Styela clava: one gene and its partner. The protein of the gene in region 2 interacts with the protein of the main gene of each other region in a pairwise test. Links are inferred from orthologs where the notes say so. Each region holds a gene or a part of one and is shown on either strand. Other genes may lie near its edges.

Evidence for each region.
Region 1: the proteins of 26S proteasome non-ATPase regulatory subunit 3-like (region 2) and 26S proteasome non-ATPase regulatory subunit 6-like interact in a two-hybrid assay, tested with the Caenorhabditis elegans proteins (2 studies listed by BioGRID). The link is inferred for Styela clava from reciprocal best matches to the Caenorhabditis elegans genes rpn-3 and rpn-7.

Annotation. Positions count from the first base shown.
Region 1 is NC_135258.1:11,545,434-11,557,996, forward strand, and holds 26S proteasome non-ATPase regulatory subunit 6-like, read left to right. Parts: upstream 1-6,364; 5' UTR 6,365-6,467; coding exon 6,468-6,615; intron 6,616-7,110; coding exon 7,111-7,316; intron 7,317-7,793; coding exon 7,794-7,939; intron 7,940-8,231; coding exon 8,232-8,451; intron 8,452-8,708; coding exon 8,709-8,817; intron 8,818-8,984; coding exon 8,985-9,153; intron 9,154-9,660; coding exon 9,661-9,835; 3' UTR 9,836-9,915; downstream 9,916-12,563. Other genes in the region: KICSTOR complex protein SZT2-like, read left to right, coding at 1-162, 755-1,327, 1,994-2,118, 2,494-2,715, 3,058-3,126, 3,669-3,827; 10 kDa heat shock protein, mitochondrial-like, read right to left, coding at 5,105-5,413; RWD domain-containing protein 3-like, read right to left, coding at 10,301-11,098; ADP-ribosylation factor-like protein 1, read right to left, coding at 11,549-12,091. UniProt on the Caenorhabditis elegans protein: Acts as a regulatory subunit of the 26S proteasome which is involved in the ATP-dependent degradation of ubiquitinated proteins.
Region 2 is NC_135263.1:1,699,986-1,712,233, reverse strand, and holds 26S proteasome non-ATPase regulatory subunit 3-like, read right to left. Parts: upstream 5,382-12,248; 5' UTR 5,324-5,381; coding exon 3,785-5,323; 3' UTR 3,167-3,784; downstream 1-3,166. Other genes in the region: uncharacterized protein LOC120326815, read left to right, coding at 1-1,482; carboxypeptidase D-like, read left to right, coding at 12,011-12,248. UniProt on the Caenorhabditis elegans protein: Acts as a regulatory subunit of the 26 proteasome which is involved in the ATP-dependent degradation of ubiquitinated proteins.

The DNA of each region.
Region 1 (12,563 bases), on a different chromosome or scaffold from region 2:
AATTTCATTCAACGTCTTGCAATAAAGATGAACATGGAATGTATGATGTTGGGTATGTCATCTGGCATGATTTGAATTCAACAGAAGAAAAGAAAGTCAAGTTAAATTTCTTTGTCTTATTCACAAACAGAAGACATCTATTTCCGAGGTTCGATCGCATGGGTAAGTTGATGGTTACTGTGACTGGTCCAAGTTTGCCTCATTGCATGTCCTAACATAGTCAAAAGCTAACATAGTTAAAGCGAAATGTTAGGCACGCAGTAATAGTAACATGATACTGCAAGAGTTTATCTATATTTTACCTTTGCAAAATTTTTGATCCTTATTTTCAGAGCGTTTCGCCCAAGTTTCATTTAAACTAATTTACATGTTCATAACCACCATTTTATTCAAATTATTTCACCTTCTGTCATTAAATAGTTAACTAATCTAGTCTTGCTATTCCGGGACTAATTTTTGGTAACTGCACCTGAACTAAATCTCCTCAGAATACGAAATGGCCATTTATTTTACTGAATTATAACTAGGTAAATTTTTGGAAACACAATGAAAAACTTGCGAAACTATGAAAACAATCTAATTGTTACTGACCTTTGGCATCCTGCTCACTAACCAATGCGACGGAACTAAACAAGAAGGTAGATGCTTGTGGAAACATCCATTGTCTTCCTATTAAAATCCATATGATACGTAAGAACAATCTCCAAAATAGTTAGTGCTCAGTTTTTGTAGCATTTTATAAATATTATTTCAGAGGGCCGTCCTCACCTAACTTTTCCTGTAAGAAGAAGATCTTCAAATTTAGTCACTCGTACCAGCCAAGAAAAAATTCCATCAACTGACAAAACAATGTCACCTGCACCTTATCCCAGCACAGTTTTGAATGTCAAACAACAAGGACAAAGTCCTACATCTTCTCAATCGACGTCTTCACTACAAAAACTCGCAAATCAGGCCACAACTCCGACAAATTCTGCGAAAAAAGAAGCTATTCATTTATCGCCTCTTTCTTCGAGAAAATTTAATATTAATGCTCAAGCGAGAGAAACATTTGCAAAAACAAAATCACCGACGGAATCGATAGTTTCGCCGACATATAACCAAGAAAACGTTTTCTATACCCCTGGACCACCAAGTCTCATAAAAAGAAAATTGATATCTCAGGGAAGACGACAATCAATGCCTAATGTAGGTACCTTGCCACTTGGGATTCGACGTAATCCACAAGATCCACCAAGACAAGCAACAGAGTTTTTACAAATGCAGAATTCCACAGGACATTCTGTGAGATCTACAAATGAAGATAAATTTGCTTTACAAGAAGAAGGTTTGTCCAATCATAGGTCATTATAGGTTATGTGAAATGGTTTTTGGATGTCCTGAAAAACCATTTTTCCCTTAGCACCACAAGTGTGGAAAAAATTGATAGGCCTATTATTGAATGTACTTGAAGTATTCTTTTTCTTTAAGACCCATTCTAGCATTCTGCATGATTATTCTGAGTCATGTTCTCGGTGAAGGTGCAAAACAACGCATAAAAGCATATTTTGTTTTCATATTACAATCACGCATCGAAAGAAAACTTTAAAGGAGCAGTATATAAATATAACAAAAACATAAGTCGAGACCTGGTATTATTGCCAATCTTTTTCTTCACCTTTCTATGGTCTGATCTAATGGCAGCATGCCAAATGGAAATATATTCTGAGTGATTGAAGAGTCTTGATTCACACTGACACAAATATATTTCTGTAACGTTTCGTCTGACCAAAGTCAGACTTCCTCAGACATACATCATTCAACTATAACAAGAAAAGCACTTGCATTCATATTTAAAAAATCAGTGTAAAACTATTAAATCATATTGTTGGTTTGTTTTATTTTTTATTTATCACATTCAAAGTTCCTAATCATTTGATTATGGACAAAAATCTTACTTATCTGGACATATTTTCTAGAACATTTCAGTTTAAGTTTCGTTTATTTCTCTCAGGCCTACCATCATTTGTACAATGTGAAATCAGTCGATTGAAAGATTTTCTCAAAAATATTTGTGCTTCTGCTGAAATACAATGCTACAGAAATCAACTATGGGATAAAGTCTACATGGATAAACCTGTGAGCAACACATTTTTATTCTTTAGTGAAGTTTCTTCCAATTTTTCCAATCAGTTTAACAAGATATCTTGTTATGGTGAATTTGATTGTATTTTTGTAGAACGAGAATGTTTTCCTTCGCTCAATTATCATACGGTAATTTTATACATTCGAATTTTCCCGTAGATTTCATAGTCCATGCCTAGTATCTATTCATTAAACTGGGTAAACAATCCTAATTTGTGCTCTAGTTTGAGTTTTAAAAAGTTCAACTTCAGGATGAGATTTTGACAGAAAAAACTTCTGATTATAAAATTTTACTATCTTGGCTCCCTGCTTTTTCAGTCTCTTATTCCCATATGTTTACAATTATTTTTCATATCTTTTGTTACCTAGTCTCCAAACAAGACTTCCATGCTTCCTGTTGAAGATTTTGAACATTTATTGAAACATTGTCAAAAAGTTCCTTTGCAAAATATGGATTTTCGTGGACATGATCTGTGTAATATCGAAACAATGGGAATACAGTGGGCAATTGGACTTCAGAAACGCATGCTTTCAAAATTCAATCAAATATGCAGATTTTACACAAATTCTGAAGGAACGAAAAGATATTTGGTTAGTATTATTTCTTCATTATTCTTTTCTATTTTTATATCATTCTTTGGAAGGAAAACATGAATTGAGTACATAAATCAAGTGTTGGGACATGGTTTCCTCAAATCACAGGTTTTCAACATGACATAGGTTTGACCTGAATCGGGGTAAATTTCACAAACAAGAAGTACATGGCCGTTAAGAACATAGTAGATTACTGCTTTTTGGGGATCGCAATAGATTCTGCTCTATTCGTAAGCTGTTTTATATTAGGTAATGCATTGACAGTCGTCATTACGGCTATCCAGCTATCAGTTCCTTTAAAAATGAAAATGATCAAAACAACCTTATATTTAATTGCAGGGAATATTGAATCCTAAGCTTTATTTCATGATGCTATTGATTACTGTTGATACTGAGAATGAAGATATTGTAAGTATAAATTGTATTAACATGAAGAATCCAGACATTAAACCGAATGAATATTTCCAATTTGAATGTTATAGTCGGGATTCTTGAGTAAATAGACACCATATGAATCCAAATTTTGGCTTTTTGGCTCAAAATTTGACTCTAAACTGAAGGAAGTGTCAACTTGGAATCTAGGTCCCAACTCTGGAAAAACGAGATTTTGATCACAAAAACTTGGGCCAATACCTTTCCTTAATCTTTTGTTAATTCTTTTTTAGTTTTAGTCAGAAATATAGACTTCAATTACTATTATATTATCAATAGAAATGAGAAAGCAGCCAGAAATCGCACCATTAATTATATATGCATCATTCTATATACATTTCATCACATTCCCAACTATGTGGTTGGTTGAGTACAGCAAAAAGCTACATTACAAGTTGTATTAGAACTAATTTTAGCACAGAGTGCCATGATTTTTTTCCAACTATTAGCTAAATTTTACTAAATCAAAAATCATTTATTAAACTACATAAAAAAGAATAATTTTTTTAAAATTTCAGGGAATGTTTATTGTGATGAGAGATAAATGCCCAGAGTTGGACAGAGATGAACCGAACCTGACAATTGGAAATCCTATTTTCATACCACTGAAACAGCATTTAAATAATATGATCAATTTTATTTGCTATTATACATGGACTTCGTTGTTGTCAAACTAATACATTCTTAATATTATTATAATATTTATCTGCTCTATGTGCCATGGTCATGTCAAATAGACCTCTGAGAAAAGTAGCAGGTGTGTCATTCGACAACTTACCTTGGTATGTCTGAAGAAGTTGGGCATGGATTATTACATTGCATTTGTGCTAAGTGGGAATATAGTATTGAAGTTTTCAGAAGTTTAAAATGAAATATGCATGAAAAAATACTACAGATATTGCTACCCCTATTTCAATTAGCTTAGATGAAGCTACATGTGTAGCACACTATTGATTTAACATTTGAAACTTTCTCATCTTTTTCCTTTGTAAAAATTTAGTAGTTTATTCTTTGTCTTTTTTGCTACATCTTGTATTCCGCACATTGGTGTGTGTTCTTATCTCAAAGAAGCGATTGGGACGAAAAGCTTAAGATGTTCAGCTGCGCGAGAAAGAAATCAAAAAATAATATAAGCTGTTTAAATTGTTTCCTGATGCCATATTCCAAGTGCAATTGATCAGTGATTTCTCTGGTGAAATATATTTTTCTTTGAAACTTGTCATTCAATAAATCTATCTTGTGAATTTTCAGTGGTATCAAATAATTCTAAGTGTCATCTTGTTGCAGTGATGTTTTGAGGCTCACATTTAATAAAAGTGTCTGGGCATTTTGAAAATAATTTAGTGAAAATGGATGCGTGGGTGGGTTCATGCTTAAGTTGGTCCTAATGATGTTCATTTGAGCATTCTTGCACACCATTGGCTCGCAATTATAACGAAAAAAGGTCTAGACCTGACATGGGCCAAATCCGGCCCGCCCGATGCTACGCAACGAAACTAAAACCAAATTTTGATCTTTTATCTGAAAAATAGCTCAAGGAACGTTTAGTTTTCGCAAAAGGCTTATTGTTTTCCTAATTTGCTTTTGTAACACTGTAAATATTCTTCAACTTTTCACATCACCCTTACATGGCTTGCCAGTCTAAGTGAGCAAAATTTTTGGTCCCTGGCCCACGCCTGTTCTAGACTGTCATATGTGCATATAGAAGACTTATTTCTAAAATGATACAAAATTTGCAACCGGCATCGTTAACTGTTCCCCGCAACATCAAGAATTGGTAGAAAGATTTAATGACCACAGCGGCAGTATACACACAAATGTATCAGCGAATTACGATAATATATTACAATAGGTAATTATTCAAAAACACTGCTGCTCTGCCAGTTTTTTTGCAACGATGGTAGCTCCAGACATGATTGGAAAATTTCAGTTTTTGCATGGGTAATAGCAGTTTTCAACTCTCAAATTTACCTAGAATATCTCCATCACGGAATAAATGGTATTCATCGTCATCAAGCAAGACTTTTGTGCCACCATATTCTGGAAGTAAAACACTATCACCAACGTCAACGCTCATTGGAATAAGTTTGCCATCTTTGTCTTTCGTGCCTGGACCTTTTGCAACCACTTTAGCTTGTAAAACTTTGCCAACAGATTTTTCAGGGAGAACAATTCCTCCTTTTGTCGTTAACTCTGGTGCACTTCGTTCAACCAACACTCTGTCAAATAGCGGCAGAAATTTCTTGAAAGCTTTTGCTGCCATTTTTGATTTTCTGAAAGATAAACGATAAGATAAGAAGTGCTGTGAAACCATATTTTATTAGGAGTGCCGAATCCTAAGTGTTCAGCACGTACTTCTTGGTCTTTTTTCATCAAATTCCTCCCTTCGCTTTTTTGGAACTCCTCATTCCCCTCTTGCTATGTACAAAAAATACTTTATTTATTCAATCTTTAATGAATCCTAGCTAGTACTATGCACAAGTAGCACCCCGCTTTTGTGTAATTTTAAAATGTGTACTTAAATAAGTAGTCTATTATAGTGAAAATAAAGAACTAAAATTGTTTACAGTATTAGTAATACTATGGCAAATACAAAGCCTACCATGAAACATACGGACATAACAAGTGATAGTTGGGCTAGGGAAATTTCTTTCTGTGGCCAATTGGCATAGTGCATTAGTTTTAACACCGGTTGAATTCATAAAATGATAGAGATGTGATTGCACTAAGTTAGAAGATTCAGAGGTCGTACGGTAAGACTGTAAGAGCCCTGATGCAGTGCTAGATCAAGAAGTCCCACGCAAAATTGCAGATGTATGTTTTAGTAACGGTACTGCTATGCTCAAAATAAAATCACTCATAAAAAACTCACCTCAACGTTAAACGCGATGCGGCAGGTCAAACACAACTCAACAGAAGAGGCGAAGAAATTTCCCGAAGCAAAACCACGCTCGATTTTCACCAGGGTTGCAACATGCGTTTCTGAAATGAAAAATAAACAACTTATTGTGACACCTAGTAACATACTACAACGAGAAGTGAATACTTTTGGGAAAATAAGTTTCAATATGTATGTAAATATTAAAATAAATGAATAAAAATATTTTAAAAGTGTTTCTTGAATAAAATATTGTGGTTACAGACATTAACATTAATTCATATGACGTAATAAATCCATCAAAATATCGCTTAATCATATTATATGAATCAGCTCATTTCTTGAGTTAGTGTGTGTTCGTCTTATTTGATCTATCTGTAGCGTTTCAGTTCAATCCGTCTTTATTTAGTTTCAGCATTTTATACATTTACATCACATAATGCCGGTTGAAAATTTAGAAGAAGAAGGTCTGAAAAAGATTCCAGACTTGGAAGTCGCGCAGTTGAAGTTCTTATTAACGTCGGACGATGAGGAAATCCAGCAAACAAAAATTAAAAAACAATTTATGGAAGCGATCGAAGCAAATGGCAAGTTTTAGAAGTTATTTTGCTAAAATTAGGATGAATTCCTCAAATTGGTTTTTAAGAAGAATTGGTGTTTCTATCTGAATATTATTGCATTTTATTACAGTATTATTGTTCTCAAACTCATGAAAACTCATTTATGATTTTATTTAAGATTTGTTTTAAGTTTGAGAAAACATGACGATTATACAGTTTAAGATTGATTGAATAATATATGAACAATGTGTTCATGAGTCGTGACAAGTTTGTATTATTAATGTTTGTATTGTATCAATGACCATTATTTAATCGAAATTCATTCTTTTCAAACTTGACGTTGGCCGACTTTAACTTCTTGTTTACTATGGTGCCAACCTAAATGTAGAATTACCTCCTATTCTGAAATAACAGTTTATACAGACCCATCTTTTCCAACCAACCAATAATCATCAATATGCTTGAATGATAATAAATTAATATGCCACAAGATGTGTAATTTAGACGTTTTCTTTTTTACAGAGATGGCACCCTATTATGAAATTGTTTGCAAAGAACTTGGAATGAAAATTAACAATACACTTTTAAAGAAATTGAAGGATACAAATGAGAAGACATTAAAAAAACTTGAAGATAAAATAACAGAAACTGAAGAAATGGAATATGAAAGTGAAGTCAGAGATGCTTTACTTGCAAAGGCTGAATATTTGTGCAAAATTGGTAACAAGGTAACAACAATTCCCTAGAATGTTTATTCATAACAGTCGACTGGGGCTGTGGATTTTGGGATCATTTTTGCCCGACTCAATTGAAAAACAAATCAGACTCTCGATTCCGAGTTGAAGAAAGTTTAAATTTTGATTATAATAACTTTGTCACATGCAAGCCTTCCTTGTCAACTTTATTCATTTTGATTATATGTTTGAAATCTGCAATCCAGATTCTGAAATATTCAATTGGATTCCGGATTCCGGGGGGTTTGAAAATGCGACTCCAATGTCAATAAAAACATGCAAAGTCAGGACTCTCACTTCCAATTAAGGTTTAGAAATGAGCTGTTCATCAATTCAATATAGCTTCTAAATGTTCTAATATTAGTCTACAATTTCATGATTTTCAACAATATGTAATAGCACAGTAAAGACATGCTCGTAAAAATTAGTCTTAATTACATATATTTATGCCTTTCCTCAAATAACTTTCAGGATGACGCTCTCGAAGTTTTCCAGAAAGCATATGATAAGACCATTGCACTTGGACACAAGCTTGACATCATTTTCTACAGAATTCGACTGGGATTGTTTTTTATGGATCATGATCTGATTACCAAGAGCATAGAGAAGGCAAAAATGTATGAAATATATTTGTTGTGCATTTTAGTTTAGAATTAAGCCCTTTGTGGCATGCACTATTTGTCCTTAGGTGATATATAATTTGGATTTTCTCTCGAAACAAAGCCATGTACAAGTAGCAAGTATCTAGCGATTCTGCCTTCATTTTTTACATCCTGGATTGGTAGACAGTGTGACCAGGGTACAGATGTCAACATTTTCACACCACGATACATCAATTTATTTCTGTTTATGATAAGTGTTTGTGATAACGATTGTTAACGATCTATACCAACTTTTATTGTTTTTCAGTTTAATAGAGGAAGGTGGTGATTGGGATCGGCGAAACAGACTAAAAGTTTATGAAGGTTTGTATTGTATTGCGATTCGAGATTTCAAGAAATCAGCAAATTTGTTTCTGGATACTGTATCAACATTCACATCCTATGAACTTATGGATTACAAATGCTTTGTCACATATGCTGTTTACATCAGTATGCTTGCTCTTGATAGAACCGAGTTAAGAGAAAAAGTGAGTTCTATTTAATGCACAACTTTACTACATTTTTTTACTACACAATTCAGTGATGATTTATCATTATGCGAAACTTAACTACAATTTACTTCAGTACATATTAACAACATATATTGATAACTCAATTCAAGCCTATAGTTAGGACATTGGGCCAAGTGTTGATAAGAGTAATTACTAGCAATTGAACCATCGTTTACCCTATTTTTGCAGGTTATAATCATATAACTGAACTAACTTTTCAAACATCAATTCAGGTTGTAAAAGGTTCAGAAATCTTGGAAGTTTTGCATAGCAATAAGGAATGCAGAAGTTACCTGTTCTCATTGTATGATTGTCATTATGCAGAGTTTTTCCAGCGTCTAGGTATGACTTAGAACGTGGAAAATTTGAATTCTTAATAATTGTTTTTCATTGGGTAATATAATACTCTGTGTGATGTGATTTTGGAATAAGGATGTAAATGTCTTAAATTCATTTCATATTATCTTTTTATTAAAGAAGTGAAATTTATTTATTTTTGAATATTACAGCTCAAGTTGAGGTGGAAATGAAGAGAGATAGATTGCTGAATCCTCATTATAGATACTACACTCGTGAGATGAGAATACTTGCTTATACACAACTCCTTGAATCATATCGTAGTCTTACATTAGAATATATGGCTGAAGCATTTGGAGTTACTGTTGAATTCATTGATAGGTATGTTTACCTGAATCATTATATTAGCTATGGGGTGAACTTTGTACCATCAATGGGAAGCTACCAGATGTGGATATTGTTATTACTTTGCATACGAGAAAAATTTCTTCTTGATCTTCCATTTAGAAATTGGAATGTCGCTAACTAAGGGCTTAAGTACTTGAAAATTTTCAATCCTTGTCTGTCTGAATTGAGTCTTGGACTCTGCTTTTGATTCGAATACGAGCAACAGAAATGTGGACAATTTGCATTGCCTGATGAGTAAATGAATATCACTATCAATCGAGTATATCAGTTTAGTATGAATTGTATTCGGCATCTGAACTGCTAACTCCCATTCACGCAATTCACTTGTCCTTCCAAAAGAATATCTACATCTATATAGTCTCACGAGCCCTCTGATACTTTGCTCAGAGATCGGCGTCCTCTGTTTCCGAGTGAGTGTGACCTTGATACGATCAACCTAATTCTTGCAAATAAAAAAAAAATCTCATCTCGTTTACACAGGGAGTTGTCAAGATTCATAGCTGTTGGGAGACTGCATTGCAAAATTGATAAGGTCGGTGGGATCGTTGAGACCAACAGACCTGATAGCAAGAACTGGCAATATCAGGAGACAATAAAGAAAGGAGACTTGCTGCTAAACAGAGTTCAAAAACTATCAAGAGTCATCAATATCTAATTATACTCTTTATTTCGTATGATAGAAACAATTCTTGTGTCCATAATGTACCATGTTGTATATATAAAATTTCAAACAAATGTGCAGTGGTGGTAAAAATACACATTCTGTGAGTGGCAAATTCAGTGGAGATAATAAGAGAGCTATGCGGTAGCAGGCTAAAACAAGCCAATCCCTTAGATGAAAAAATGACGAGCCACCATTTACAATAAATACCAAACGGGTTCCTTAGAAATATAGTAAAAACAGCCAAAGCAAGTGTATGAACATTGTGAAACTAATATTGGATATTATACCCATAAGATTTTCAAAACAGATAAAATGTGGTTTTCTAGTATGTGACGAGAATAGAATACAGCAACAAATTTTAATGTGTAATGTGAACATAGCATGTGTTTGGCCTTATTTTTACAACCAATTAGCACATTCTATTGTTCACAGCCATGAATGAATTTAAATGAACTCTTACGCACGAGTAAGCAATGGTCTAAGTATGTCATACAACATGGACGTGAATCCTTCACTAAACAGGCTTTCCACCTCGTTTATTTCGGACAGTTCATGAACATGGAAGCCCTCAAATGGTACAAGGTCGTCTTCATAAGAATCTCTTAATAAAATAGTCATGAGCCGTTCTTTACAAGCATGACCAGCTGAATCAATATCAACTTTTTGAGTTCGCATCTTTTTTAAATATTCTTTAATATCATTCTTGTTACCGTACAAGATTATAAAAATGAGATGCTTGTAAAATAAAACAACACCCTGGACTTGTAATCGAGTTGCCCATTTTTGTAACGTTTTTAGATAATTGTTTTTTGAGCGCATATGATCAAGCTGTATCACACAAATTTCCTTCGTTTTATTCTTAGCAAGACTTCCTTCATCTCCGCAACCCTGAAGTCTATTCGAATTTACACCAGAAGCAAATTTTGCCACGTTATCTTTAATCCACAATATAAGGTCTAATAACATTTGACTGTTCAAAAGATTATTCTCTGTCGCAAACTTGGACATCTCGCTGTTCAGTCCAGAGGAAGATTCTCTTGTCAGCATTGGTGAATCAATTGTCACATGTGGCACAACTTCTGGATATTTGTGAGATATATAAAAAGTAATTCTGAGTTGTTGACAATTCTCCTCCGCGTGTGTCAAATTGAGTTTAAACGATTTAGATAAAGAGCTTTCCAGATCATTAGCTTCAAACTCTCCTTGCTGACAATAAATAGACTTCACGGCTTCAATTTCATCCAGAATGGACATAGTGGTATCGTAAAAATTTAAGATAGACTATTCACAAACAAATATATAATACAAATACATATATACAATACATCAGACTAAATATAAACAAATTCCAGGATCAAAAATGAAAATACATGACTATGCTAGCGAATTAACCAATTTCTTAAATTTTAGTCTGTTTTTTGGAATATTTCCATAACACAAATCATTTAAAAAAAGCTAGGCTAATTATGAGTGGCAATTTCATCATAATGGTTATTGATAGAATGTTTGGTTTTAAGAAAGCGCGGACCATGCATGAAGTTCAGTGAGGTTTATTTCCTGGAGAGCGTACAAACTATTGCTGTCTCTTTTCAGCTTGTATATTGGTCCGACTGTTGCGGATTGTGATCTAACTAGCACAGCATTAATTCATTAGCTTTTTATATAAGCTATTATATTGAAGAAAATTATATTAAATAGATATTCCTAATTTGATTGAAGTGTAGACACAAGCCATTCCATTGCTGTGTCTAGTCCAATATTTTTCAATGCGGATGTTTTGAAAATTTGCCATTTCCTATCTCTCAGTTTAGAAAGTCCGAGCTCTTGTGCAATCTCTGCTGGTGACATAGCTTGTTCACAGTCTTGTTTATTGGCAAATACTAACAGCAGTGATTTTTTCAATTCTTCTTCTTCCAGCATACTTATTAATTCTTGTTTTGATATGCCGATTCGTTCTCGATCAACGCTATCCACAACATATATTATAGCATCTGTGTTGCTGTAATAACATCTCCAATAGGGACGAATGCTGGTCTGACCGCCCAAATCCCAGACTTGAAATTTGAGATTCTTGTAAACAACTGTTTCTACATTGAAACCTATTGTAGGAATTGTTGTGACTACTTCTCCAACTTGTAACCTATATAGAATTGTAGTTTTCCCAGCACCATCCAAACCCAGGATAAGAATTCGACGCTCCTTTTGTCCAAACAGTGATGAAAATAATGAAGCAAACAGATTCCCCATGATATAATTGACTGTTTAATAAATTCCTTTATGACGCATATATATATATATATATTGAATTTATCTATGTAAAATGAATTCAAGGATTAAATATTATATTGATGTGCTCTCTTAATAAAATAAGTTGCCGATAGATACATGAATGCTCAAACATATGGAAACAATGGTATGAAATGGTGAAGTCCGAGAGCCCTCAACTTGATGAAACGATCGACAGGCGGTCCAGCAATACTGGATACAAAGTGTTCCCGTTTTATTAAAAAGAATCCAAAATTGGTATTCGAAACTTTAAACAGTTTAGATTATAAATACAAAAATACCCTTCCTAAATGCTGATATGATTACCTTCATATTTGTGTTATACCAGTGGTACCTAAAAATTGTACTTTCAGTGTTGTTAAAACTTAAAGCAACATTACCACAACGAAAAGCTAGAATCTGACAAAGGGTAACCAAGTAGGTCAGGGATGTC
Region 2 (12,248 bases):
GCAACTTTAGATATTTTACTTGAAAATTCTGCAATTGAGACTGACAATTCTGCAGTCAGTAATAAAATAAGAGTAACGAATTTGAACCGAGTACCTGTGACTTCCAAGACTGTGGATAATGGAATTCAGAGTCAATCCACTTTATCAATACAAGCTAAAACTAACTTTTTGTCATCCCAGAATTTTTTGATTGGGTTCGCAGGACATGAAAAGGGGTCTGATCAAGACAGTCCAGCTTTTAACGCTAATATTATAAAAGATATGCAGAATACTGAAATGGAGATTGACAATACTGCAGCTAGTAATGAAATAAGTGTAACAGATCCGAACCAAATATCCTTGTATGGTAATAATGTGAAAAGTGCGATTCATAAGCTGTCTTCTTTTCCAATGCAAGCTGAATCTAACTTTTCGTCATCCCAAAATTTTGGAGGGTCTGATCCAAATATTTTGAAATTGAATATTGACGTAACAGATATGGCTGCAGAACATACAATACAGGCTGGCACCTATTTTATGCCTTCCCAAAATCATAGTAGCGAGTCCACAGGACATAGAAAAGGCCCAGATCCAGAGATTTTAAAATCGAATACTAATATGATTGCAGATACTGAAGGTTTTGTGGAAGCAAATAGCCATTTACCATCGGACACCCATCAAATATCAAAAGATCTCAATGAAAAATTGTGGCAAAGCTACCAAAAAAGCAATGATCATAATCTTCCAGAAATGGTGCATAAAAATTCTGAAGGCTCAGCCTTGATTGTTAATGGGAAAAAAGGAAATTTGCTGTTACAACAAACACTGTGCAATATGGCATTTACAAATTTTAAAATGAACAAACAAAAAACGCTTGGAAATTTATCAGGTAAAAAAATAATAATTGGAAAGCCTGATGATGAAACTTTGATTTCCTTACGAAAGAGGACGGTACAGAAACCTCAATGTGAGGAGAAATTTGATAAATCGCAGGCCTATTCTGTGGGTCACGAAATCAAGGAATACTCTGCGCTTCTGAAAAAAGTATCAATGGATAACGGTGAAGACCCATGTGTATTGATGCCCATACCTGGGACAGACCCTCAAATATATCTACCAAAAAATTTAGAAAATTCTTTGTCTTCTGTCCTGTTGGCAAACGGAATATCAGAAAAAGAGTGCATTTTACAACGATTGGAATCCCTTGGTGGAGATATGAGAACCTTAACTGGCTTTGATAGCTATGAGCACTTTGATTTATTTTTTAACATGCTTGGCCCATTAGCGTTAGAAATGACTTCCAAAGCGTTAAAATCGCGCGAGCAACTTTTCTTGGTTCTTGTTAAATTATCTGGTGCGAAATCTGACATTGAAATATCTAAAGCGCTTAAAATCGGGCCCACCAGTGTTCGAATAATTTATGAACGATGGGAAGAATTCATGTTGAATCAACTACAAAGCGTGTTGGGAACGCAGAAAACTGAGTGGATGTCTGGCATGTGAGGGGGTTTTGCTCGAAGCAAAATCCAGAGCCCTCAACTAAAAGTGAAAAGAGTACTGATAGAAGAGTTGCGGGTTTGCTCAAAGCAACGTCTCAACCCCACAACTAAAAGTGGAAAGAGTACTGATAGAAGAGTTGAAAGTTTGGTCCAAACAATGTCCCAAGCCATCAACTAAAAGTGGAAAGAGTACTGATGGAAGAGTTGCAAGTTTGGTCTAAACGATGTCCCAAGCCGTCAACTAAAAGTGGAAAGAGTACTGATAGAAGAGTTGAAAGTTTGGTCCAAACAATGTCCCAGGCCCCCAACTAAAAGTGGAAAGAGTACTACTGGTAGAAGAGTTGCAACTAATATTATAGGGGCTTTAACACAGATTCAGGCTTGTGAGACTGCCTATATATAACAATGTTCATTGCTCCATTTTTTATGCTTTTTTATACTTGTTTTGTTCATTTAAAAATTTTCCACTGTGATCAATGCTGGGTTACATTTTTCTTATTTGGGTGAAGTCCGACGTAGTTTTTTTTATTTGGAGGAAGGAGTTAAATTAGGGGTTTCGCGAAGAGCGTTGAGTTGAGTCTGGTTCGCTTCTGTGCACGTTAATTGAATAGATTTGATTTTGTATTGTACCACCAGTGCAGTAAAGGAATGACAAAGTCTCTGGAAATGTTGATTTTGATGAGAGTTTTTCAGCTTAGTCTTAACAAATTGTAATGCAGGTAGTTTATGCAGAGTAAATTTCACCAGACAGATCGATTTGTCATTTTGAGTGCCTTCTAATATAATAAACAGATGCACCTCCAATTTGGATGGAAACCAGGAAAACTAACTCGGTTACACAAAAAGTGGGCTGGACTTTGCTATTGACCTAAAGTAGGGGTGTGCAAACTAGTTTAATCTGGTTCGTGCGAGTAATTCCAATCCAATTTGAGTCCCAATTCATTATCTATACCTAGGACGTTACAACAGCTAGCTTGTGCAATGCGAACAGCGCATTTCATAAGATCGATGACCATAACCAAACTCGTTTTAACGCCCGATCTTGATTAAGGGCCCGTTTGAATAGCCGCCCGTGTGAACAAAACATAAAAAAAAATAGGGGCCGGTGCTTGAATACCCGCCCGACTCCACAAACTCTACGTTTACTATTTTTTCTAAACAAGGCAGCACGTATTTAAATAAAATAATTTTAGTTTATTAGCCTACATTAATCAGTAAGTTACAGTGTGTTTTTTTATAGATTTATTGTGGGGCCCCAAGAAAAGGCTCCATAACAGCAAAAGTTTGAGAACCCCTAGTCTTGGGCAGGGCTACTCAGCTATTTTTACCAAAGATCCGCATACAACACTTTAAAATTATTTGGGTCCGGTCTTTCCAGAAATTATATTTTGGCATCCTTAAATGCACACTTTCTCAACCAACCGGCTGATGATTATTAGCAAATCAAGATTGTTTATTATGGTGTTATAGTTCTTTTCATTTATATTCAAAACTATAAAATTCATTTTATAAAAGGAAACTTGAAAAGTGATCCAAAATGAAGAATTATGTGCGGTCCGAATCCAATAAAGGCCCGGATTCTGACCGCCAGTTGAGTAGCCCTGGTCGAAAGTACTTATTTTAGATTGTGAAGAAAATTCAGAACCCTAACCCCCCGTTCAATAACAGAAAGTCTCGACTGCGCCGCATTCTGTGATATAAATCCACTTATATTATTACAGTAGAAAAATCACAACTCAATGGAACTGTACAATGACAATAAGGTTGTAATCACTGGAAAAAATTTGAATCCAAAAGTTTGGAAAGAATTAGTCAAAAGGGAGCTCACAGCAGGGTAATGCACACATTGAGCAACTACTAAAATTTGGATTTTTTTTATGAAGTTTCTTCGAAGCGAGGTCCTACGTCCTCGACTATAAGTGAAAAGAGTATTGATATACAGGGTGTCGATAAAGTCTCTTTACAATTTTAATTTCGTTATGTAAATCAAGTTGTCAATATATATGAACCAGGTTTGTTATTTTTTAATTGTTTGCAAGCGTTCAAGTTTTTTTACCTCATTTAATACATTAGTGAGGACCGAAACAATATTTGGTAACAATAAATTACTTTTGCAATTTTAAGACTTTATGGACACCCTATATAGGTTGCAAGAATACACTGAATTCAATTAATTTAAATAATAAGTAAATTTCAGCCAATTTCTGAGCTTTATCTAAAAATTTGTCCATTTACTTTACCAGTAATGAACGGGGCCAGAGATAGCAACAAATTTGAAAAAAGAGTTTTCAAGGTCAAAGTTTTTTTCAAGGGTATTCGTCGTCCTCCTCAGCCACTTCCTTTGCGAACTCGATGTCTTGAAGTTCTCTTTCACGGCGCTCTTCCGCGCTCTCTAAATCAGCGTGGTATGATTTTGGGGGAAACCTCATTGCCATAACTGAATTACGATAGATATCCAAGCAAAATTCGATTCGATTATGGAATGCTTTTTGCGGCTCCCGTGTCCCATAAACATCAGTCGTATCACGAGTACGAACATACCCTTCCTCGTGATTAATTTCCGCTTCAATGACTCCGTCTTTAATCGCCTTGGCGATGATAAACTCCGCTTCCTCTGCAGAATCGAGTTGTAATTTTTTCGCAGCGTCAGTGAGGAAAATTCTAGAATATCCGACAGATATTTGTCGAACTCCAGTTTTGATAACATTATGACGGACTCGTAAAATAAGCGTGTACATGCGATCCGCCCGGAAAACATCTCCATGCTTTTCTAAATTCTCATTGAAGAGCTTCAAGTCTCCTGTCCGAACCGCTTGTGTTAACTCGAAATACGGTATCAAAGCACCCCTTATCGATTCTTTTTTGAATTGAGCACGCTCTGGAATTTCTCCGAGAAGTAACTCAACCGTGACAAGCAATTTAGTCACAGTTTGCTTGAATCCGACAGCAGTTGCTTGCGGGGCTTTGCGAAGAGCGCTGAGTAGCGTCTGGTGTGCTTCTGAGTACTCTAATTGAATAGCTTTAATTCTACCAGTGTAGTAAAGGAATCTTGCCCATTCGTTGTTCGACGATGTCTCCGGGAACGTTGATTTCGATGCAAGTTTTTCAGCCTGGTCGTACAAATTATAATGCAAGTAGTTCCGAAGAAGTAAATTCAACAGCACAGATTGGCTTTCCTGGTCGTGGTTCAACGTTGCAGTTCGCAGTCGAGAATGTAACACGCCTCTTATGTCCTCCAAACGGTTCGTCATTTCATAAGCTCTGCTGTAATAGAAATAACATTTCGCAGCCAAACTGTCAAGTGAACGGCGATTTTGGCTCACAAGTTTCGTGACAATTGCAGTTGATAACTTAACAGCCTCATCGTACGAATTTTTATCAACAACGTAGATCAGCACTAGGAGGTGGATGTAAATATCAGTCTCCGGAATTCGAAAACTCTTTGCTTGTCGCGAAGGTGGTGCCGAAGCAGCGTCTGCGCTTTGTTTTGTAGCTGTTTCCATAGGTTCATCAATGAAGGACAAAAGCATTTCTTTATTTGCATTGTCAGTAGCTTCTCTTCCATTATACACGAGCGAGATGATTTGATGAAATATTTCGGGATTTAATCTTCTTCGAGTCGCAGGGATAGACCGCATTACTCTCATTGCATGACGAGGTTCCTTCATAGTCACGGAACGATCTAAAAGTCGTAACTGTTCTTTGAAATCTTCAATAAAAGCTTTATCAGCCTTTTCTTTCGGGTCAATTTCATCTTTTTCTGGTTTTTCTTCTTCTTTTTTCTCAACTTCCTTCATTTCGACATCTTTTGTTGACGTCTTAGACGCCCTTTTTCCCTTAACCATTTTGAGGATATTAGATTTAATGTTACGTACAATTCTAGTAATAAACAGAATAAATAAACTTTTGTGAAGCTGCCAAAAAATTCATCTTCACATTCTATTGAACTGTATGAACTGAAACATGGCTCGTGGTTATGATTACTTACCAACACCATTCATTAGCTTACGGTACCCGATATGTACCGTACCTTTGACAATAACAGCATTCCCAAAACAATAAATTCATTTTGAATTCACTACAATCTGACAATAAAATACCGGTAATAAATTATCGTACCTTGGAATCCATAAATGGCCTTCCATACCGCAGATTTTCAAATAATTCTCAAGAGCTAAAAAATAAAAGTCTAGTTAAACTCATACAACTGAAGTATAAAACAATATATGACAGATAATGCTAGCATATTGCTATAAACTGCAACTCCCTTCACAAAGCTAAGCCCCGAGAAATGCTGATTCACATGCAAGTCATGTTTAAGCGATGCCTTTGGGGTGCAAGGAGTCGCATTACTCTGACGGTCACGAAAAGTCGTAATCGTATTTCCCTTGGGGGAAAGGTAGCATAAGCGTGGTTCCCTTGGTTAGTAAAATTAGCTGCTTCAATCGCTCGGCCACTGCCATATCTAACGCAGTAATTGGGATATTTTTTAAATCATCCCCGCATGGGATTCGAACCTGCGAACCCACGAAGGGTAATCAGAGATGCGGTGCCAGCGTATTCCTAACGCTTAACACGATGCGCCACACCGCCGAGCCAAATACGCGGATGTAATGTAGGAGATGCGGAGATGTAACTCGACACACCGATATAGATAGATAGTTTATTTTGAAAACTGACAATACAAACAAATTCCGGAGAGCGAGCAAAAAAATTTAAAACAAGATGAGTACAGTATCATGTGCCTCACCAACAAATATTATATATTTTATGGTAATTTAGTACTTTATTGACCATCATAAAAGAATCGGGTTTAATATGACGTAAATATATACTACATAATAATAAAGACAGCACTATGTGAAAATATTACTACAATCATTAACAGTAAATTGCATTATATACGAATAAACTTACTCTGAGAAGTTCGAGTCTATATTCTCGCTGGTGTGACGTATCGTGCTCAGCATTAGGAAAACGATCATTATCGCGCCTCCGATTACCCTGCGTGGGTTCGAATCCCGTGGGAAATAAATATATGGATTGCTGAACTCCCGTTTTTGTAGGCCATGGTAATTCACGTAACCGCCGATAATTAGAAGATATCGGGAGGACATTACTGTAAATGTGACGCATCGTGCCGACATTAATTGCTAACCCTCTCCTCTGATATTAATATGTTAATCCTATTTCATTCCGTCAACAAAGTCATTTTCGTTTTTTTGGTAGAAAAAGTCTGAAATGAATTCTCGATTTCAGATGGTATGTCATAGGATTAGATTTTTCTTCTCGGAGATGAATATGATAATTCCAGCCTTTCGACGTGTTGATTTTCAGTCCTGTGAATGAAAACAACGCAAAGTAAAAGTTGCTCAGAAGTCGGAAGGGCAAATACCAAAACACCAAAGGGTATAAGGCTACGACATCAGATAATATAAGTGGAGATAGTTTTTCATATTTGTACAAAGGAAGAGGACAGACAATTGAGTGGCTAAATCTTTTGGCGAGTTAAACCACGTCGCATCCAGTTGCCAGCCCATACCGAGTTGGACTTTATGGCGGGGTAAACTGTATCCAATCAGCGGTTACGCGAATAGCAATCATCGTGCACATAATTATTCCCCACGGGATTCAAATTTGCGAACCCACAAAGAGTAATCAGAGGTGCGATGGAAAGAAACGACAACCGCCGAGCTGGCTGCATATTTTCAATATGATGCCGTATTGCAGAAAGCTACACTTTAGGTGTTGTACTTGTTTGTGCATATTATTCTTGTATTGTGTGATTTTTAATTTCCAAAACAATGAATGTTAGTGTAAACTGTTGTTTAGGTTTTATATATATAACAAGAGAGCAACGCTCAAATATATGGACACGTTGACCAGAGCGAAGCAGTCCTTACCTATGACGTTACCGGTACCTTACCGTACCCTCAAAAATTCCGAGTTCACAGTCGCAAGAATTTTAGGATAGGATAGGATTTACATATTTATCCCGGGGGGGTAGGGAGTAAAGCCGATAAGACGGCTTATCCATATGGCGAACCACGGCCTCTCGTTCGGTTACCATTCCAAGTCGGGTATGGGATTAGTTATATTGTTTGTTTTCGGAAGCATGGACTTGGTGGTGGAGGAAGCCGTAACCGATCAGCGGTTGAGTGAACCACCCAACGACGGCGAGGAGTCCAGCAATCCTCTCGCACATAACTATTCATGCGTGGGATTCGAACCTGCGAACCCACGCAGAGTAATTAGAGGTGCGGTGGCGAGCGTATTCCTAACGCTTAGTCCGTTGAGTCACTCCGCCGCGCACAGTCACTCATCACACTTGGCGGATTAAAAACCGTGTTCCCATAATTAAAATGTAATACAGCGCAATTTTGGATGAAACATTAGACCTCCTAGGATTTATAGAAAATTTAGGGACAAATAAAAGTTATAGCCTTCTAGAGAAAAAATCAATTCTCAACCACTGAAAATTTCAAAACAATTGGTCCAGTATTCGAAGAGAAAAAGCGATTTTATCGCGACGAAGAAAAAGAACGTCGACAAGAACAACAACATAATATCAAAACGATCCATAGGTACACTCACGTGTCCAAATATAAAAACGATTTATAACTTACGTGTCCGATAATTGAGCCCTCGTTGTTGCAAAAAAGTTCTCTCACTTTCAACGTGTTACGTCGCCGTTCTGGATGATTGGCTATGAATCATCTGTTCCTGACGTCACATGTTGTTCTTCAGTGAAAAATTTGCGGCCAGATCGGCTTTCTGGGTTTCCGCTGGCTGCGTTTCACAGTTTTATCTGATGGCTGCGGCCGTCAATTTGTAATAAACTTAGTTGTAACGCCATGGTACAAAGTTAACGGCACCAAATGCTGGAAGGCGAACAAACATGACGAAAATTCGAGATAAATTTAATAAAATAGTGGATAATTATTAGGTATAGGATTTACTGATTTATGTCAAGGGAGAATTTAGCAATGCACGGATGCCTGGCTGCACCAACCACGGACTTCAATGTTCAGACGCCACTCCAATGTTTAGGTAGACTAGTTGAGAGTGCAAAACTGGAATTTATTTTTTTTATTGGCCAGCAGGGCTGCCACTCTAGATGTTTTATATCTAGATCTAGATGTTTTTTTCAAGATCTAGATGTAAAATTTGGAGCCTAGATGTTAGCTATAAAAAATCTAGATATTTTTTTTTTCAAAGTTCGAAGTATTATTCAGTGGGAAATAAATAAAGAGATGTGTATAATACTGTAATAGGTGAATGAATATTATTTCAGTATTTAGAAGAATTGATGTAAGATTGATAAAACTCATTTATATTGTATTCGTCCACCGCTACGGTACCATCCATATCTAATTAAAATATTTAAATAATGAATTAAACATGTGATGTTCGAATTAACGTTAAATAGAAAAGACGACGTTGGTTCGATCAGTCAGTGCTTAGTATTGCATTGTTGCCAAGACTGCAAGGGGTGAGAATAACTGGGTCTAGTATAGTTTAGTACCACAAGTACTTCCGGTGGGCGCAGCATAACGAATTTTGCATATGCTATTCTTAACCCCCACCTGACTATGCCATCCAAAAATTATGTCACTACGACGACACCATCAAGTCATAGGGATTGCCAAAGTATAATTACGATCACCCGAAAAAGGCCGAAATGTCATATGTGCCGCCGATAACGAACTTGCTAAAGCCGGCGATCTCTCTCCTATCGTGATCGTTGTGACGAGAAAACGAGAGAAATTGCTTGCTCGATTTCGGGTGATCTTCTGCGCGTTTTGGACGACCATCCGCATACTTCGGTGGGCCTTATGACGCCACTGTGGCGTCGAAATGACGTAATTTTTCGGTGACGTAGTCAGGTGGGGGTTAGGATTGACATATGCAAAAATTGTTGAGCCAGGTCAACTAGAAATACATGTGGTACCGATACTAAACTATACCAGACCCGAATAACTTGTGTTGTTCAAGTTGCTTACTCCTGTACTTCAAGATTTTAAAATTATAAAGTTATTTGAATCTATAAGTGATATTGAATTTGTCTCTCTTTACACATCAACCTATCGAAATGCCAAAGTGGATTGCCCATTCAGATGATAAGGACAAAGCTCTTTGTGAGTTCTACGGGTTGGAATTGAATTCTAGGTTATGATGTTAGCTTCTTCGACATCCAATATTACTGTTTTATGTAAAACAATAAACTTTGTATGCTCCTGTTTTGTTAATTTTCATTAAATTCAATGACTTCCTAGATGTTTTTCGAGGTCAATCTAGATGTTTTTAGTCAGGCAAAAGTGGCAGCCCTGTAATGGCCAGATAGGAAGCACTTTGGTACAAGGGCTTAAAATGAAATTATCTGTCTTTCACCTTATTACACAATATAAGGGTCTCATGTAGTTTCGAACCTAACATACTTCTAGTGGGCGTAGCATGACAATTTTTTCACGTATCAATCCTAACCCCCACCTGACTACACCATCCAAAAATTACATCATTACGACGTCACAGTGACGTAATGGAGCCCTTCAAACTATATGAACTGCCGTACAAGACGCGCAAACGAGCACCCAAAATCGAACAGTTATTTCTCTCGTTTCCTCGTCGCAACGGTTCCAATAGGAGAGAGATCGATAACTTCAGTCAGTTCTTTATCGTCAGCGCCAATGCCATTTCGGGCGATCGTACGAATATTTGGCAAGCTCTATGACGTGATTGTGATGTCGTAGTGACGTAATTTTTGGATGGCTTAGTCAGATGGGGGTTAGGATTGACATATCAAAAAATTGTTATGCTACGCCTACTAGAAGTACATTAGGTACGAAACTACACGAGACCCCAATGTAATACCATTTCAGAATTTATTGATTTATGTTGTCATTCTGAAAACGCAACACTCGGTAAAAGAAATCATATTACAGAAATGCCTGGAAAACGAGCAAAACTTAAGAATAAAGTTTATAACGTGTAATGCATGTGCTTGTTCACCAAAAATGACACACATAATAACAAATATATAAAGAATATCGGTCAGAGACCGAAGACTTATCGATCGAAAGTTAGGGGATTCCCCGAAACAGAAACTGCGGTTTCGATTTATCCACTCTTACTCCACAGATGGAGAAATATTTTTAATATATTAGACGCTCGTTGGCACCCATATTCGAACTTTGCAGCTTTTGTGAGGAATAATTACTTAAAATTATGCCTGACTGCCTGAGGGGGTTGCCTGTTATCTGAGAATGGCATCTGTAACAATTATAGTCCTGTAGTCAATGCATTTGAAAATGATTAATTTAAACGCTCGCAACTCACAGAGAGCAAAAAAGAGTGTAATTGTTTAGTTACGGTAAACAGAAAACACAGGCACAGCAAAATATTGGTGAAAGCAAAATGTTCTAGGTACAGATTTTCTGACGATAAGACAGCCCAGTTATTTACCACCCACCATTTGTGTATATCGAAAGTATTTGACACATATCAGTACTGTATGGCATAGTTCTTCGATTCCAAGTATAGCCCCCAAATAAAAGACATCAAACATCACCAAGTACAGTTTCAAGTATTTTGTGGCGTCTAGATCTGCCGCAAAACCATGGCAGGATTTTCAAACCATGGCCGCTATGACCAAACCCACGGCAACTGACTGTTTAGCTGCCGTAATCACAGCAGCTCGCTATTGGTTTGTGTACCACCAATTTTGCTGCCATAACCACGGCATGTCGGCTGTAATAGCAGGGCTGCCCCTGATGGTGATAAATATTGGGTAAGTTGAAACACTTTTCTTATGAAAACAATTTTGATGTATTTGGGGATAGGTTTAGGTTTAAGTAGATATAATTCCGCATGATAAACTAAAATATTGTACATGACTTTGTAAATATACCGATAATACCGCCATAAAACCATAGCAAGAGACGGCGCGGTACGTTCGTGGCAGGAGCTGCCTCAATATAACAGTGAAAAAAAAAATCTTGATTTATTTTTTGTCATACTTTTGTACCTACTTACTTCAGAACAAAAAATAAATAAATTATAACAGTGAGTTCAAACCCCTCCTTAATGTATGACAGTCTGGGCCTCCATAGCTTTGTGCAATAAACTGAAAGGAAGTTCAATCTAAAAATGTTACCATTGAATTTCTCAGAAAAAATAATTCGATATACTGAAAAAAAGTTACCGTAGCATTTAAGAGTTTTCAGCAAAAATCGCAAGTTTAGTCATGTGACAGTTGCGATTAATTTACGGTAGATTATTATTGAGACAAGCATGACACAAACTGACCAGTGCCAGACACCCTCGCTTCAGAGATATCTGTGTGGGGTCATCTTGAAATTAGAGAACTTACTGTTTACTCGAGTAGTTTATTTGTTTTCTCTGTTGATAAATAGAACATCAGTTTATTTTCCTACTAATTTTTTCAGTTAATATTTTTCATTTTAGCTGTATTCACACAATATCTGTAATTATGTTATAAGTATAAAATACAATAATAAGCAAACCATTTTAATATGGATTTATATGGAGGATTTACATTTTGGATGGTATTTTCTTTCATTGGATTAGCGGCCTGTACGAGTATCACAAAACGCGATTCAATTGATGATTTCACCACTCATGACTTTAATAAATATCATCATTATGATTACTTAGTCGCCACACTTGATGGCTTACAGAATCAGTTTCCTGATCTTGCGCGAACAGGATCTATCGGTCAATCAGTACAAAAACGTGAACTAATGTACATAG